Neurospora crassa OR74A: one gene and its partners. The protein of the gene in region 1 purifies or fractionates together with the protein of each later gene. This does not show direct contact. Links are inferred from orthologs where the notes say so. Each region holds a gene or a part of one and is shown in the gene's direction. Other genes may lie near its edges. The genes, in order: NCU00488, fba and NCU03269.

Evidence for each region.
Region 2: the proteins of NCU00488 (region 1) and fba purify together in Schizosaccharomyces pombe (affinity purification with mass spectrometry, with the first as the bait; 3 studies listed by BioGRID). This does not show direct contact. The link is inferred for Neurospora crassa OR74A from reciprocal best matches to the Schizosaccharomyces pombe genes paa1 and fba1.
Region 3: the proteins of NCU00488 (region 1) and NCU03269 purify together in Schizosaccharomyces pombe (affinity purification with mass spectrometry, with the first as the bait; 3 studies listed by BioGRID). This does not show direct contact. The link is inferred for Neurospora crassa OR74A from reciprocal best matches to the Schizosaccharomyces pombe genes paa1 and ypa2.

The regions. Positions count from the first base shown.
Region 1 is NC_026503.1:4,028,683-4,034,524, reverse strand, and holds NCU00488 (protein phosphatase PP2A regulatory subunit A), read left to right. Parts: upstream 1-2,111; 5' UTR 2,112-2,836; coding exon 2,837-2,902; intron 2,903-2,992; coding exon 2,993-3,098; intron 3,099-3,209; coding exon 3,210-3,361; intron 3,362-3,429; coding exon 3,430-3,921; intron 3,922-3,989; coding exon 3,990-4,249; intron 4,250-4,306; coding exon 4,307-4,745; intron 4,746-4,804; coding exon 4,805-5,197; 3' UTR 5,198-5,666; downstream 5,667-5,842. Other genes in the region: NCU11185 (protein phosphatase), read left to right, coding at 1-1,480. UniProt on the Schizosaccharomyces pombe protein: Phosphatase 2A affects a variety of biological processes in the cell such as transcription, cell cycle progression and cellular morphogenesis, and provides an initial identification of critical substrates for this phosphatase.
Region 2 is NC_026505.1:218,287-224,108, forward strand, and holds fba (fructose-bisphosphate aldolase), read left to right. Parts: upstream 1-2,173; 5' UTR 2,174-2,302; exon of another isoform or gene 2,303-2,429; 5' UTR 2,430-2,473; coding exon 2,474-2,488; intron 2,489-2,564; coding exon 2,565-2,595; intron 2,596-2,670; coding exon 2,671-2,949; intron 2,950-3,012; coding exon 3,013-3,135; intron 3,136-3,202; coding exon 3,203-3,297; intron 3,298-3,357; coding exon 3,358-3,491; intron 3,492-3,546; coding exon 3,547-3,958; 3' UTR 3,959-4,978; downstream 4,979-5,822. Other genes in the region: NCU07808 (hypothetical protein), read left to right, coding at 1-74; NCU07806 (hypothetical protein), read right to left, coding at 5,559-5,822. UniProt on the Schizosaccharomyces pombe protein: Catalyzes the aldol condensation of dihydroxyacetone phosphate (DHAP or glycerone-phosphate) with glyceraldehyde 3-phosphate (G3P) to form fructose 1,6-bisphosphate (FBP) in gluconeogenesis and the reverse reaction in glycolysis.
Region 3 is NC_026501.1:5,136,172-5,141,737, forward strand, and holds NCU03269 (serine/threonine-protein phosphatase 2A activator 2), read left to right. Parts: upstream 1-2,493; 5' UTR 2,494-2,954; coding exon 2,955-4,304; 3' UTR 4,305-4,425; downstream 4,426-5,566. Other genes in the region: NCU03268 (hypothetical protein), read right to left, coding at 1,503-1,913, 1,975-2,132, 2,204-2,390; NCU03270 (hypothetical protein), read right to left, coding at 5,445-5,566.

The DNA.
Region 1 (5,842 bases):
AATAGGATACGGCACCGAAAACATGGAGCACTACAAATTCGCCAAGAAAGAATACCTGAACATAGACAACATTCACGTCATGCGAGAGTCGCTAGAAAAGGTCATCAGCGCCATCAAGGACGCCGATGTGTCACCTTTCCCACCGAACAAAGAACTCTTGGCCAAGAGTAAATGGCTGAAGCACATAAGCGGTATCTTGTCCGGATCAGCCTTGATTGCACAAAGAGTAGGTATCCAGCACTCCAATGTTCTCATTCACTGTTCCGATGGATGGGATCGCACAAGCCAGCTCAGTGCCCTTTCTCAGCTGATGCTTGATCCCTATTATCGCACTCTCGAAGGCTTCATTGTGCTGGTTGAGAAGGATTGGCTGTCTTTTGGACACATGTTTCACCTTCGGTCAGGGCATCTAAGTCATGAGGACTGGTTTACAGTGGACGGCGATGCACTTGCAGGGACCGCCGTGAAGCCAGGGGAAAATGATGGTCGGGCAGACCATTTTGAGAACGCCATAGCCGGCGCGAAGCGATTTTGGAGCAAAAAAACGGCCAGCGGGAAGGAAGCCGTTACTGATGCGGATGGGACGCCTATCGAGACCGGCGTGGAACCTGCTGTTGCCGAAAATATGGCAACAAGACCCAAGGATATCTCGCCTGTCTTCCACCAGTTCCTCGACGCCACCTACCAGCTCCTCAGGCAACACCCGACTCGCTTCGAGTTTAACGAACGATTCCTGCGCCGCTTATACTACCATGTGTATTCTTGTCAGTACGGTACCTTTTTGTTCAACAACGAGCGCCAGCGCCACGAAGCACGGTTACAAGAACGTACAAGAAGCGTGTGGGCCTACTTTCTGAGCCGGCGCTCGGAGTTCACGAACGAGCAGTACGATGCCACAGTTGACGACCACGTCAGGGGCCGTGAGCGTATACTATTCCCTCGCTGCGACGACGTGCGGTGGTGGCACCAACTCTTCAACCGGACGGATGATGAGATGAATGGCGACCTCAATGCCTTGGCCGCAACAGCAGAGCGTGTTGCTGCGTATCAGCAAGCTTCGTCGTCATCAGAGCTTTCAAGGCCTGTCGATGCGGGTACGATTGATGTGAACAGCAACCCACCATCGTCCGGCGCCCCATCGCGGACATCGGTAAGCCCCACCCGGAGCCCGCTGCCGCCGGGCTTGGCAGCTACCGCGGCCGGAGGGTCCGTGCATGCAGGCGTGGAGTCGGCCCACGAGGTTCTGACGCCCGGGACTAGAAGTCCGGCGCCACCAAACCGGAATGTCGCCGCTGGAGATCCTACGGGCACTTTTGCAGCTCTTCAGGAGAGGATTTCCGGATTGTCGCTTGGAAAGGCTATGTTTGGCGGCGGCACCGGTGGGAGCACAGGGCGAAGTTCGATTGGAGGATCTGGCTCTGATTCCGGGCGGAATTCGCAAAACGAACTGGCGGAGCAGGAGATGAAGAGTATGAGTTAGATGAGTGGTGAAGAATGTTGGAGAAAGAGTAGAATAATATGTGGGCAATTGGTTCCCGTTATGAGAATAGCACGTTGGAACAGCATGCTCCCTGATGAAGCAAGGTTAGCGATGCTTTAGTTGCAGTAATGCCTGACTTTATAAGACAGCAAAATATGAACAGCATACATTCCCAAACCAGTATCAGTATTAACATGTGATGATGTTTTAGTGAGTCAGAATTGGAATACGTGATGTTGTAACAACTCACCTTAGGCTGTAACAAGGCAGTTAGTTGGTGTTAAACATTCTCCCCTTCTTGCATCTTGATGGCTGTTGCCATTCTTCCGGAGCTGTAGCACCTCCTTTTTATGTCAGTCTGCAGTGTTTTCCAACAACCTGACCTCACGAAGAAATGTAAGTTGAACAGAAAGAGCGGCTTACGTCGCGAGTTGGAAGCGAAAGAAGTGGTTCATTGATAGAGGTACCTACCTACCTAACTCTCGTGGTGCAGCAAGTAGGTACCTACGTAAGTGGTGCCCGGTGCGCCTTGAGGGGCCACCCCTACGACGGGAACGGGCGGCTACGTCCCAAGCTGAAATGGCGAGTGGCCAGTGCTCCTTCTCAGTTCTCACCCTTGTCCGCCCGGCCCCCGTCATGAACTGGACCCCAGCTTTGCGCGTCAGGTCAATTTGTGTCGAAGACCGGGTCCAGCTGTGTCCCGCCGTTGGTTAGGCGACCTTAAGTGCTGCCCTGCTGCCCTGCTGCCCTGGCTGCTGCTGTTGCTGCTCCTCCTTGTTGCGGCCCTGCGGGGACCACCAAGCTCGCTCCGATCTCCACCTCTAGGTGTAGGTGAGTCCTCCCCCCGAACAGGAACCACCGTCAACCCTCCATCAAGCAACCCTTACCTATTATCAAGCAAAACCGTCCAGTATCATTCCTTCTTTGCCTGCTTGCTGCCCGCCGTGTCGTGGCGCCGTGTGCGAAACTACCTTACTGCTGAGAGATCGCATCCAATTCCGATTTCGACCCGACGAAGCGTCACTCTTGCTTTTTCTTTTTCAACCAAGCAACCAAAACCAACCTAAATACAACAAACCTACCTACCTACCTAGCTGCCCGCCCAAGCAACGCAGTTACCAAGTTGCGCACACGCACGCATCCACTTTCCTCTCTCTACCACAATCACAGTCACTGGTACCGCCGCCGCACAGCGTCGCCCGACCGGCTACCAGTCCAGTCCACACCCCCCCGTCTATTGCATCACGCCCGCAAGCGAACATCCGTACCAAGTCAACCAGTTTGTCCAAATCCGCCTCGCTCGCCGACTGTATACTCCCCCGCGATCTTCCGCGTCCACTTCACAAATCGCCCACAATGGCCGACGCGACGAACGCGAACGACGAGCTCTTCCCCATCGCCGTGCTAATCGACGAATTGAAGGTATGATGGCGGTGACCCGGACGGCCAGAACCCCTGACTATCCCTTCTTGTCTGGTTGATGGACTGTAAACCCTGATTGACTTTGGGCAGCACGACGAGGTCGTCCTCCGATTAAACGCCATCCACCGTCTTTCGACTATCGCCCTTGCTTTGGGTCCCGAGCGCACTCGCGAGGAGCTGATTCCCTTTCTCGATGGTTAGCCAACCCTTCGACCCAGCTTCAGCCTAGCAAACCCACCTGCGCCGGCCTCTGGCTACACAGCCGCTGGGACTCTTGAGATACGGCTGCTGACACTTCTGAATGCAGAATCGGTTGAAGATGAAGATGAGGTCCTCGTTGCCCTGAGTGAAGAGCTTGGTAACTTTGTCGAGTACGTGGGGGGCCCCGCATGGGGACATGTCCTTCTTTCCCCCCTTGAGAACCTCGCTGCTATCGAGGAGCCCGTGGTGCGAGACAAGGTACGGATACGTGACCATTTCCTGGCTTCTTGTCATGCGACCCGCATGTGTACTGACAAACGTTTTAGGCTGTCGAATCATTGAACAAGATCTGCACTCAACTCTCTTCGCAGCAAGTTGAAGAATACTTTATCCCTCTTACGATTCGCCTCTCCAAGGCCGACTGGTTTACGTCCAAGGTTTCCGCATGCGGCCTGTATACAACCCCCTACTCGAAAGTTTCGCCGCCTATTCAAGAACAATTGCGCCAGCAGTTTGGACAGCTCGTCCACGATGAGACCCCCATGGTGCGCCGTCAGGCCGCCACCAACATGGCCAAGTTCGTGAAGGAGATGCCGGCTCCCATCGTTATCGAGGAAATGATACCCATGTTCCAACACCTCGCCCAGGACGACCAGGACAGCGTCAGACTCCTTACAGTCGAGATTTTGATCTCTATTGCGGAGGTTGTGCCCAAAGAGCAACAAGCCAGCCACACCGTGCTCCTCACATCGCTACGCAGCTTGATAGAGGACAAGAGTTGGAGGGTCCGCTATATGATCGCCGACAGATTTGAGAAGGTTCGTGGTCGCGCTAAGCACTTGGCCTCCCCTCATATCAATTCTTGGATGACTAACAGCACATACAGATTGCGAAGGCGGTTGATGATGAGGTTGTGTCCAGAGATCTTGTTCCTGCATTCGTAAAACTCCTGAAAGATAACGAGGCTGAGGTGCGGACTGCCATCGCCGGCCAGATCCCTGGCTTCTGTGCTTTGGTTGACCGCAACGTTCTCCTGAATGACATCATGGGAAGTGTTGAGGATCTCGTCTCGGATAGCTCCCAGCATGTCAGAGCTGCCCTTGGCACACAAATCAGCGGCCTCGCTCCTATCTTGGGCAAGCAAGAGTACGTTCCCGCAGTCAGACACGGTTTCTTTGATGCGTATGCTAATTATTGCACAAGGACTATTGATCATCTTCTGCCCATGTTCCTTCAGATGCTCAAGGACGAGTTCCCAGAGGTTCGCCTTCACATCATCAGCAAACTGGAGCTTGTGAACCAAGTTATCGGCATCGACCTCCTTTCTCAGTCTCTCCTTCCGGCCATTGTACAGCTAGCCGAAGATAAGCAGTGGCGTGTACGCTTGGCTATTATCGACTACATCCCGCTTCTTGCCAGCCAGCTGGGCGTCAAGTTTTTTGACGAGAAGCTCAGCCAGCTTTGCATGGGCTGGCTCGGAGATACTGTTTTCTCCATTCGTGAGGCCGCTACTCAAAACCTAAGGAAGCTGACCGAGGTGTTTGGTGTTGAGTGGGCAAGCGAGGCTATTATTCCCAAGGTTATGGCTATGGGTGCCCACCCCAACTACCTTTACCGGATGACCACTTGCTTTGCTATCACGGTAAGAGACTCAATGGCATACGAAAATCAGTGAAGTCCCTGTCTGACTAGTGTTTACAGACCCTGGCTACCGTTGTCAGTCTGGATGTGATTGCCAAGTCCATCCTTCCGATGCTGGAAAAGCTCACAGCCGATTCGATCCCCAATATTCGCTTTAACGTCGCAAAGACATATGGCATCATCATCGGTGTTCTGCGTCGTCTGCCCGACGAGGGCACCATCTATACGCTAGAGAAGGAGGGCAAGCCTGCCACCCCGTCGCCCAAGGGTCAGGAGCTCATCCAGCAGCGCATCATGCCGTGCTTGGAGAAGTTGCAAAAGGATGATGATGTGGATGTGCGGTACTTTGCGACGACTGCTGCGGCCCAAGCAACTGGTCCTCTTATGGGAGCTGCCACCGAGGCAGGAAATCCTGTTCCTAGCGGTGGGGAGCCCATGAACACATCTCCATAGACAACGGATTTTGAGACGGAAGAACATAGGAAAGCAGAGAGTCCCACCTAATGAAGAAAGTTTTTGTTACCATCAATGAGCCAACAGAGCAGCGTTAGGACTATGATAAACTAGTGGCCAGTTTTTCTTCCTTAGACTTGTCGTAGTCACTCGGGCACTGTACCATCACCGCTGTTTATACATTACAGATTCAAGAACATGGTTTTGCACTTTTCTTGTTGACATCTTCACTGTTTCTGTGGTAGAATTATTGTACGCTACAGGATCGCGGAGGTTCTATTCCTTTTTGTTCGTTAGTTGATACTTAAATAGTTGAGCATGGTCGGCTGGCTAAATGCCCATCAGAGGATAGCGTGGAAGGGAATATGTGGGCTCCAGTAACTACGACCCGAGATACCACTGGGAGCAGGCATGCCAATATGAGAAGTATCGGTACAAGGGATGATAACAATCAACGATCACTGATAAAGTGAGCACACAGACGGACATCACGTAACAATCCGTAATTCGTGGACGTCGTAGAAACCCCGATGCGAAGTCATTTGTAGTCTTTCCAAATATGTGCATCAAGACGTGGTACTCCATCATCCAGACATCCTTCCCGCGCATGGTTTTTGAGCATCCCACAAATCGCCTCTTGAGCCC
Region 2 (5,822 bases), on another chromosome or scaffold:
AGGAGGATCTCTTCGCTGCTCCTATCAAGATTCTGTTCCTTGAGCCCTTCACTGGTTTTGCTGGCCGTAAGTAGAGGTCGGGCTAGCCGGTTTGCGATGGATGATGAATGAAATTGTTCTGCACCTGTGCTTGATCCCTGTCGGCAGTGGTAGGGTGTGCTTGTGAATTCTGAAGTCTGATGATTTTCTCGGTGACTTCCAGTGTTTCTTTGGCCAGTTCAAGCTTGCACTTCCATGAAGAGAGGTGGGCGGTGGGATGGGCTTCCCGAGTGACAACCAACTTTACGACATCCGTCGAAGGTGTCCAGCGAGTTCTGTGTTCAGAGAAGCCTGGGTAGAAAAGGTGAGGTGCGGGAAATAGACTGTTTAGGACGGACGCCTGCCCGTGACTCCATGGGCTTGAGGCGCGCAGATGGGAGAAGAAGAACGTGGTTCTTGCCAGTACTGGTTGGGAGCAGCACTGGGTGCGGTCAACTTTTTACACGCAAGAAAGTAGAAAGGGCTGCTACATTGAGAAGGATGAACGAAGGGGAACCAATGGGGGAAGCCGGGAAAAGTCCCTGTCGGTTAGTAAGCCCAGCCTTGTAACCGAGGGTGCCGGTCACTGAGCTTGCGGCTTGAGCCTTGTGGCAGCGCATCAACACATGGCAACCACAAGAGCATCAGCGGCCAGGATCATGATGCATTTAAAGATACTGCCGGCTCAACGACGCTATCCCCGGATGCTTGTTCACGTGGCTCATTCAGTTCGTTGCTTCGGCAGCCCGGACGGGAACTTGGGGAAGAATGCGGGGCAAGCGGGTCTGGATCCGGGGAGTCCCGGGTCTTGGCGATAACGGTTCCGTTCCGTGAGCTGGATGAACAAAACAACACGTCCCGGGAAGAGACGGGAGAATGGAACCCGAAGAAACCCAATCCAGGGGTAAATTCCACTCGAAAGGTTCCCCTGGGAACACTGGGGTTCTCGAGGCCCTCGACAGGGTCTCGCAATGGGGGGATGCAATCCAGAGTGGCTCCCAATGAGGTCATCGGTCGAGTCATTGTTCAGTTCAACAGCCCGTGTCAGTGATGTCTGTCAAGTCGGTCAAGACGCCCTGATGATTGACTGTCTATCACAGGAAGTAGCGTGTCCGAGGACCGCGATTGTCAATAACCTTCCTTTACCTACCTACGTGTCTCCAGTCGCTTTTATTGTGCTGCTACCGTGATAGGTAGTGTTGGTGGTGGCCAAGGGTGACAACGAGGGTCCGGCTTTATATCATATACGCCAAAGCCATAGTCAACCTGGAAACCATCATCACGATGAGTGTCGCCGATATTGAGCGGTGTAGTGGTGTCATGTCGGACTGAGGTCATTCATCGCGATCCTGAACCCCGGATTCCGATCTTTTCCATTTCACGTTCTCCAACAATCAAAACCACGACAAATTCGGCGAAGTCATGACACATTTGACGGGCACGAGACCTGTGGGCAAGGGTTTTGTCTGTTGTCTAACCTTCCGAAAGGAGGCTGCATGGCATATGGTCTCCTCAGTTCTGGAGATGAATACATATGGAATAGCCAGTGAAAGAATGGAAAGGGGAGGTGTGAAGTCTTTCGACGGGTTGAATTGGCGGTCTTTTGATTCGTTGTCTGGATAAAGCTGAAGCTTCATACACGCCGCCAACCAGACAGCGAGCAACATCGATAATATGGTCCAATGTTGAAAACACGGGATGACGACACTGGCTTGAAGAAAGTCTGCCATTGTGAGGTGACGACGGCCAAGACTGCCCTTGATGAAATGAATGTGACGGTCCGGCAATGCTCAAGCCGTGACAGTGGGGCCACCTGGCTGCGGATGGCAAGAGGGGACCCCCGGACAAGAACCCCGACCAAGCAGTGACGCGACACTGACAAGCAAGCGTCGGGAAGACGGCCGCTTGGCGCAGTCCACTCTTTGGAGGGTCTGGGCTGCGGGTTGCTGCAAGTGGTCTGTCATTTTGGAGACAGCTCCCTGCTCAATGCTCGTCGTCAACCCCCCACCTTGGACCACTAGTGAGGGGCACAACGCAGCTCTTGCTCTGTTTGGGTGTCCTGGCCAATGAAATCGCGGCTAGAGCGTCGGTGCTATGCTCGGCCGCCCCGCTGGCTGACCTACGATCCCTCCACTTCCTTCCTCGTCCTTGAACCACTGACGGGAGATTGTTGGGCGTGACTGTCGACCCTCTTGCAGTTTCTCTCTTCTCCGTCTCCTCTTCCCAAATCTCCTGAGCAGGACATCAACCCTTCGTCATACAAATTCCCGCAGTCTGCAAAACCGTGAGTGCTTCCAGTTCTGTCCCATCTTCCTCTTTTCATCCTCTTCATTCTTGTTTGTGATACCCTCAACCTGCTATCCTGGAAAGCGTTCTTATACTTACCTATTTCCACCTTTTCACACTAACAGCTACCCCGCGTCACGCAACTTCATAACCAAAACCAACAGTCAAAATGGGTATCTTCGATGTAAGTCTCCTCCAGTCTCATCCTGGCAATTGATAGCTTCGAAGCGCAGCTGATCTAACGGTGATACCCTCAACAGGAGCTCAACCTTCCCGCTGGCGTCCTCTACGGTACGATTTGGCCAAGCAGATGCGCTGCCCGATACCGGAACATAAACAAAATCTGACCTTTTTCTTTACCTCTAGGTGATGACGTCCTGAAGCTTTTCCAGTACGCTCGCGAGAAGCAGTTTGCTATCCCTGCCTGCAACGTCACCTCCTCTAGCACTGCCGTCGCTGCCCTCGAGGCTGCTCGCGACCAGAAGGCTCCCATCATCCTCCAGACTTCCCAGGGTGGTGCTGCCTTCTTCGCCGGCAAGGGCATCAAGGACTCTGCTGAGAAGCGCGAGGCTTCCGTCGCCGGTGCCATTGCCGCCGCTCACTACATCCGCTCCATTGCCCCCATCTACGGCATTCCCGTTGTCCGTAAGTAGCTTAGCTTGTCTTGTTCGGTTCAACTTGCCTTCCAAGATGCTGACATGGTCCTAGTCCACACCGACCACTGCGCCAAGAAGCTTCTCCCTTGGCTCGATGGCATGCTCGAGGAGGACGAGAAGTTCTTCAAGGCCAACGGCGTGCCCCTCTTCTCTTCTCACATGATCGATCTCTCTGGTAAGTCTGCCCCCGACGAATGCGACCGCTCTCACCAATACCCCAGCTTACTGACGTGCAATTACAGAGGAGCCCGTTGAGGAGAACATCTCCACCTGCGTCAAGTACCTTAAGCGCATGGCGCCCATGAAGCAGTGGCTCGAGATGGAGATCGGTATCACCGTACGTCAATGTCATAATGCGCTTGCTCCAAAAGGAAACAAAACTAACACTTGCAAACAGGGTGGCGAGGAGGACGGTGTTGACAACTCCGAGGTTGACAACGCTTCTCTTTACACTCAGCCCGAGGACATCTGGCAGATCGAGGAGGCTTTCCGCCCTATTTCTCCCTACTTCTCCATTGCCGCTGGCTTCGGGTAAGGCTGAACCCTACCCCTTGCTCTCGATTGATCAGAACTAACGAGATGACAGCAACGTTCACGGTGTCTACGCTCCTGGCAACGTCAAGCTCCACCCCGAGCTCCTTGGCAAGCACCAGGCTTACGTCTCCGAGAAGCTCGGTGGCAAGGACAAGAAGCCTGTCTTCTTCGTTTTCCACGGTGGTTCCGGCTCCTCCAAGGAGGAGTACCGTGAGGCTATCTCCAACGGTGTCGTCAAGGTCAACGTCGACACTGATCTCCAGTGGAGCTACCTCGTCGGTATCCGTGACTACATCCTCAACAACATCGACTACCTGAGGAGCCAGGTCGGTAACCCCGAGGGCCCCAACAAGCCCAACAAGAAGAAGTACGACCCCCGTGTCTGGATCCGCGAGGGTGAGAAGACCATGAAGGCCCGCGTCGAGGAGGCCCTCAAGGACTTCAACGCTGCCGGCACCGTCTAAATGGGAACTGGGAGATAATGAAAATGGAATGATTTGATGAGTACACTGCTTGATTCCGTTCGTGTTTATAGTGGTTGCCGGCCATTGAGACTGGTTCCATGGCGTGTCGGCTTTGCCGATACTTGGACGTATACTAGCAGGTTGGTTCACGGTGTTCCGGGGGGTTCAAGTTACCGGCTATGATGATGTTATGCTAGCCGGTTGGGTTTGGGGTGATACCGAAAAGTAGTACATACCCAATTGAAAAGTTGCCTTTGAGCTTCTCCCAAGTCCGTACACGGACCCTTCAGTCATGCTTGGTGGACATGGATCTTGTGCTCTCATGTGGTGGAGTATATAAGGCCCAAGTCAGACTCTTCGGTCCAACAACGAGGCGCTTCCCTGCGCACGCAGTCTTTGACAGGTTATGAGCAACCCATTTGGCGCAGTGGTTCCGATGTGAGCGGCGAACACCTCTCAGTGGTAGGAGGTTATGAGTTCGACCCTCAGTTAAGGGCCATCTGATGCACACGCATTTCTTTGTCTGATGCTTTGTTCCAGACACCACTTTTCACAGGCTGTCCGACGACAGTTCTGCCCGCTTCCGCTGCCGATGCAGTTTTTCAATCCATCGCTTTAACTACCTGCGTCAATAACGCTGAGAACACCTCTTCATCCTCATTACCGGACGCGGTATGGGGTTCTTTTTTTGCTTTTCTTTCTGCTTTGCTTTTTGTTGTTTTGGTTTCAAGGTCAACTTGTTTGGTGGGCATGCCTCTGTGCACGAGACAGCTGATGCCATGCAATGCAATGCAGCAAGTTCATGATATTTTGCACCAGGATGCAAACATGTTACACGAGATTTGCTGCGTCTGGGCAGCTTTCCGTACCTAAGAAATGCTATCTGTCGATTTGATTGTTGGGATGTTGCGGGTCTTGATGGGTTCTGGCAACGCCATTAATAATATTTTCGATTACCTACCTAGGAGATGGGATGGAAGACGATGTAACTCAAACAGTCAAGTACGCCGAAGGCCAAACAGGCGGTTCGAGTAATGATGAGTATCGGTCTTCAATTAGATGCTACTCGAGTTTTGGCGCTATATTAGCTTGTAGTGGATGATGAGTAGAGGTGCTTGAATCAAGCTTCGGTCCGTGCCTCGGCGATCGCATTTTCGAGGTTGACGGCGGTTGTGATTTACCCGGGTGTTTAAGTCGTTGGTTGGAACAAGAAGTGGAATGCTGTTCTCACAAACAGTAAGGGTTTTGAAAAGGCACTCGTCGTTACAGGTAGGCTGGGTTATGGTTTTGGTTCCTGGAGCCGATGAGGGTGGACATCACCAGTTAAAATGACCTTCGTGAATGGCTTCTGAAGGCAAAAGGCTGACCACTTGGAAGCATTGGAACACTTGGTCAAAAACTTTCATACACGTAAAAGTATATATCCAGAACCCATACCTATGTATAGCGTCCATAAATAAACGGGACTGCGCAAAGCAGAAATATTAACAAGAACAGAAACAAAAAGAACAAACCCATCATTCCGAAACTCCAATCCATGCAAACCACCCAAACCACCCAAGCCATCCCTCTCGCTCACTCAAAACATACCTAGAATCGATCACTCGGAAGGCTTCAAGGTGCTCACCATCCCGCCCGCCTGATCCTTCAACTTCTCCCAGCTAGAAGCAAACTCCGAGTCCGTCTCCTTTCTCCCCGCCGCGCCGCCCCTCTCCTTGACCTCCCGCTCGAGCATCTCCAGCTGGCGCTTCAGCACATCGATCTGGAACAGGCGAAAGGCATCCTCGATGCGCTTCCGGGACTCGGGATCGCGGGTGATGGTGCGAGTCGCTGCTGCCGACCCGGTCAAGAGGCCGGTCTCGCC
Region 3 (5,566 bases), on another chromosome or scaffold:
TACCCCGGAATGTGTACACCAAACACTTATGTGTACACTATTACATATGTATAGCTGTTCCATTTCGGGACTCAAGTTTGGGGACGTTCTTGTGCGGTTTCCTTTGGGTTACAGCATTATACAAAGAGCTGCAATGGCGGGTATCGAAACGCGGAAGCAGGTGTGTCAAGATGGGCGTATCTGCAGGAGAATATGGATACAGCACGGTGTATGTACTAGCGCCTTCAGCTTCTCCAATCTCTTGGATGGTCCTAGTGCTTGTGATAGAGGCGTCCTCGGGGATTTCGCGCGTAACTCGAAGCTTCTCATCAGTCCTCCCACCCCTTTCCCCAATGTGATGCGAGGAGGGGTCCAGAGCATGGTAGACTGAAATTCGAGGTGTTAAGTTACGTCTCATGTATCCTGGTACTGCTGGGGTTTTGGAGGCGAACGTCCGGGGTACAGGCGCTAGCTCAGCCGCTCAGACAGCATCTCCCGGCACAGGTTGCCGAAGGACGCCGACAGTCCGTCTCCGGCCAGAGCGCAGGCAGGGCAGGGCACCAAAGCTCGATTCTGCATCAATCAATATACCTTTGCGGTATTCAGCATCTGCATCACAACACAAGCGCTTTCGTTTCGCTATTGTCACTGCACAAAACTTACACTGTACATCTTCAGGACAGCCCCATGTGGTGTTCCGTGAAGCTCTGTTTGACCCGCTCGAATCAGACAAAGGCCGTTGTGCATTGATGCCGTCCAAGCCGCGTAAAAAGATGGCGAACACAACCAATAGTCAAGGAGTCGGAATGGGACTAAGAATTGCGTGTTGCATAAGATCAAGCCTGACACATGGGGAGGCGAAGAATAGACGCTTTCGAAAAGCCCAACGCAGGGGCACCAAACCATCAGCTCGAGGCTCACAGCTACGTGGCTCCATCATCCGGATTAGATAACTCCCACAACCCCAGTGCCTTATTGAAAGCACTCATAATATCCGTTCTAATCTTGTCGATTGGTTCTTCAATCACACCTGGGACACCAAGACCGTAATGCCCCGTGACATCAGTGCCTGGGAAAGGCGACATGAAACAGGGGTCTGGCCCTGGCCTGGAATATTCAAACATACCCCCTATGTCGGACCCACCTCTTGTGCGTTTGAAGTGGCGATGTTTTGTCAAAGGAACCCGTGCATAATCCACGTAAAATCTCGCTCGAGATAGTTATCCACTCCGTTGCGCTGATTGATATCCAACGCGATCACAATCTCCACTTTGCCGAGTGATGTGTGATTGTGCCGAGAGGGTAGCGGTTATCTTTGCAATGTGTCTGGTTCGTATCCGTCCAGAACTGGCTTTTTGCCACGGATACAGGATTATCGAGTCGCATTGCAAGTTGCACTTGTCCCGTCAACCGGCGAAAAGGCCTATGAGTTCTCATTTCGGAAACATCATGAGCCGACTGTTCAACCCTTCGGCTTTTGAAACGCACGAGATACGGGCAGACAGTCCGGTCCGAATGCATCTTCACTTCCAGTGGAGGTCGGATGCTACTTTGGTCTCCAGCGTCGACCGAAGGAAATGGCGCATATCTGGGCTGGACGCGTCATCGTCAAGCACCATATCGATGCCATCCTGCTTTGAGGCAGTCTGACAGCATATCTTCTGGGCATTTTCGTAAACGCCATCCCATTCCTTGACGGTGAAGTCACCTTCGCTTTCTGAAAGAAGCAGTTCATCGTGCGAGGTAAAAGCAAGGACATGTAGCGAGGTTGCCTCTCTGATATCCTGGGGGGAGGGATCAGCCACGATCTTCTTCGAACCGTCGTCGGATACCACCGCCACCACTGTGGATGTAGCGGTTGCCTTCATTGGCACAGCAGCCGATAGAAGAGCGAGAACGGCAGTCTGGAACAAGGCCGGTATGATGGGGAGGTTCTGTTGCCAGGATTAGTTATAGCCTACCAACAGAGGGAGGAGAGGGTTCGAATTCTCTTACCAAACTGGCCTGGACCAGTTTTGTGTTGACGTAAGCATTTTCAGGCGTGCTCTCAACTTGAAGAACGATTTGGATGACAGAACGGGGAAAGTTCTTGACAAGGATGATTTGAGAAAGAGAAGACTGCAAAATAAATTCCAGATGGCGCTCTCGTGTTCCTATATAGAAAAGTAAAGTAAGTGAGATGCAGTCCTTTGCCTGGGTGGTGGTGCCATTATGATGTTCTCACCTCCTACCCCGGCAGAGGGTCGTACGATTACATCAACGTGAGCCTCATAAGCATGTTCGTCCCGACGCTGAGCCTCAATGGGTCCATTGACAGAGGCCGTGACCGTGTACCCAGCATATGAGTATCTGGCCGATCCATCCGCCCGGGGAAGGGCGTTGAGAGACGCTTCAGGTGTCACGGTGGCCATGATGTGAGTAGTGTTTGGGTCGGTGTGAGGGTAGGTGGGGCTTAGGATTTGGTTGACGGACGGTGGTTGAAATCAAGTGGTGAGCGAGCTTGTTTCTGAGGCCGCGCGAGTGAAGATTTGAAGGCGGGATGTTGAAGGCGGGTCGTTCCTCCACGACGGGATCTGCAGCCCGGGCGCTAGCTTTTGAGGTGGCCCCACTCCGTTCTTTCCCAGCGGCGGGCCCTGCCAAGCTTTCAGAAATGGAAGCTGCAGCCCAGCCAAAGAACGCCATTACGCTTTCTGCCGTCAGCACTTTGCCTGCCCCACGATGGCTCTACGGCGGGGTAGACTAGAATGCTCACAGCATCCAGGGGATTGCCCGTCACTACCTTGGGGTGGGTAGGTAGGTAGGTAAACTTCCCTTCCAACATCCACACTCGGACCCTTCCACCTACATCACGGAACCACTCTCTCCAGCTTCTTCCATCAGTCATCTTATCTAAAGTAACGAGTACGGTCAACTGCAACACCGACCACGGAGAAGCCTACCTTCACACTGTTCAGAACATCCAGCTTTCATCCATCATGGACTCATCAGTGACAACAGGAAGGTCAGGCATAGGCACCGGCCAAGGATCGCCAGCAGCCTCAGGACAACCCATCTCCAAAGCCGGCCAGGCCATCCCGAATCTACGAGACCGTATCCCCAAGCTAGAGCCCAGGCGACGGAAGCAGGAACCATCGAACCCGACTCCGGTTCCAGAAACCCCCGCCCTACCTCCGCGCCCCGACCCATCCACTCTGGTGTTCCAGACGCCCGTCCGGCGGATCCTTCTCCTGAAAGACCACGAGCTCTTCTTGGCCTCTCCCTCTTTCAATCTCATCCTCTCTTTCGTCTTCTCCCTCTCCGAATCCGTAGCCGACACGCCCATCTCGGCTATCAAGGACTCTGACCTAAGCGAGCCCGTGAAGGCCATCCTTCGCATCCTTGACGAGACCGAAGCGTTGTGCAAAGAGTCGCCACCAGACGACCAAGGCGGCTCCCGCTTCGGCAACAAGACCTTCCGTCTCTTTCTCGACAAGGTCAAGCAGCGCGGACATCAATGGCACGCCGCCTTTTTGGGAGGCAAACTTCCCGACGCTGCCGTCACTGAGGCCTCAGCCTACCTCAACCAGTCCTTCGGCAACCGCACGCGCATCGACTACGGCTCGGGTCACGAGCTCAACTTCATCATGTGGCTTCTGTGCCTGTACCAGCTCTCGGTCCTCGAACAATCAGACTTCAAAGCCGTCGTGCTCCGCGTCTTCGCCCGCTACCTAGAAGTTATGCGCCTGATTCAGATGACGTACTATCTCGAGCCGGCAGGCTCGCACGGCGTGTGGGGGCTGGACGACTACCAGTTCTTGCCCTTTCTGTTTGGCGCCAGCCAGCTGTTGCATCACCACTTTATTACGCCACGGGCGATTCATCAGGAGCTGACGCTGGAGGAGTTCGGGCATGACTTTTTGTACCTGGGCCAGGTGGCGTTTGTCAATAGCACTAAGACGGTGAAAGGTTTAAGGTGGCATAGTCCGATGCTGGACGATATCAGTAGCGCCAAGAATTGGGAGAAAATTGAGGGCGGGATGAGGAGGATGTTTGTGTCGGAGGTGCTGAAGAAGTTACCGGTTATGCAGCATTTCTTGTTCGGATCGCTAATTCCTGCGGCGGAGGGTATGAGCGAACAAGATCCCAATGCCTTGGGTAGCGAGGAGAATGAAGAGGAGGGCGGCGAGGTGGAAGTGTACGATGATAGTGATGGCAAGAGGCATGTTCATCAGCCGACTGGCTGGGGCGATTGTTGCGGTATCAAGGTGCCGAGTAGTCTGGCGGCGGCGGAGGAAATGCGGAAGAGGGGACAGGTGGAGAGTTTGAGAAGAATACCTTTTGACTGAGATCGATGTCATATCTTAGTGTAATGTTTATCATATTCGTGTTATATTTGCTCGACGTCACTCCATACATCAAGAGTAATAATCAAGCCGCAAAAACTACAATGGTCATACTAACATGCTCACGAACGATCCTATATCGCTAAAGGTCTGACGCCGGTATGATAGGTTATCAAAGCCAGACAAAGTTCACTTTAGGGTCTGACACTTCCGCGTAACTGCGCCGTCACAGGTTGTCATTAGGTTGGACCGGGTATTCGATTTCCTCGACGATGAATCAGGTAGCAGAATTGTGGAGAAATGAGTATGTTATCTTGAGTAAACAGAGGCTGAGGGGATAGCAAGAGTGAATGGGCGAAGTACTGTACGACATCATATTCCTTTCAAATGCGCTGTGCCTACGATGTAAGCTCGTCCGTATCTTTGGCATGTTCACCACCGTACCCGTATAAGATTGCTATTTGTCAACCTGTCGAGCGTGGATGAGCAAGGAGGGTACGCTAGGGAAGCCACAAGGAAGCAAAAAGCACATTCCACAACAAATCACAATCCATTTTGATAATGATATGAAGAAGGCTAGGCGAATCCTTTAGAGCGCTTATGACTAACTTATTCAAGCCGTAGGGAAATCCGATGGTAACATACAGTCCAACTCCATTCCAAGGCCCCAACCAGTAGTCGCTAAACGAAACGAGCGAAAGAAAAAGAAGGCCGCAAAAAAAAACAACGACAGATTGACCTCAGTCATGATGATGGCTGAAAACGAAACCCACACCACATTCATCGCAAAGTGCTTTGCTTTACCCAACGCACAAGAACGGCTGCTGCCATAGGCGTCCGTCCTTCGACTGTCGGACACCCATGCAGAGAGGGTATCGAAGGAAATAATTCCATCCCCACCAAACGCCGCCAATATTTCCCAATGGTTGAAAGAGTTCGATGCCGATATGCTTGGTAAAAAAAAAGGATAAAAGACTGGAAAAAAGCCGCCGCCCAGTATGCAAACAAGAAAAACCTCGTCCTCGTACCCAGATCGGGAACACCGGGCGCATCTGCCTGTCTGGGTGTCGCTACTGTGACGGACGTCGTTTCTTGGTACTGTACCGGACCAAGAGAAACACACCACTAACAGGTCCGAAAGGTTTAATCCTCCCAAATAGTCTCCAAATCGAGATCCTGTCTCCTCTCCGCACCGCAGACACTCCACCGCTTCCGCTTGTCTCTGGACACAAACCCTAAAGTCCTGCCTCGCGACAAAGCATCCG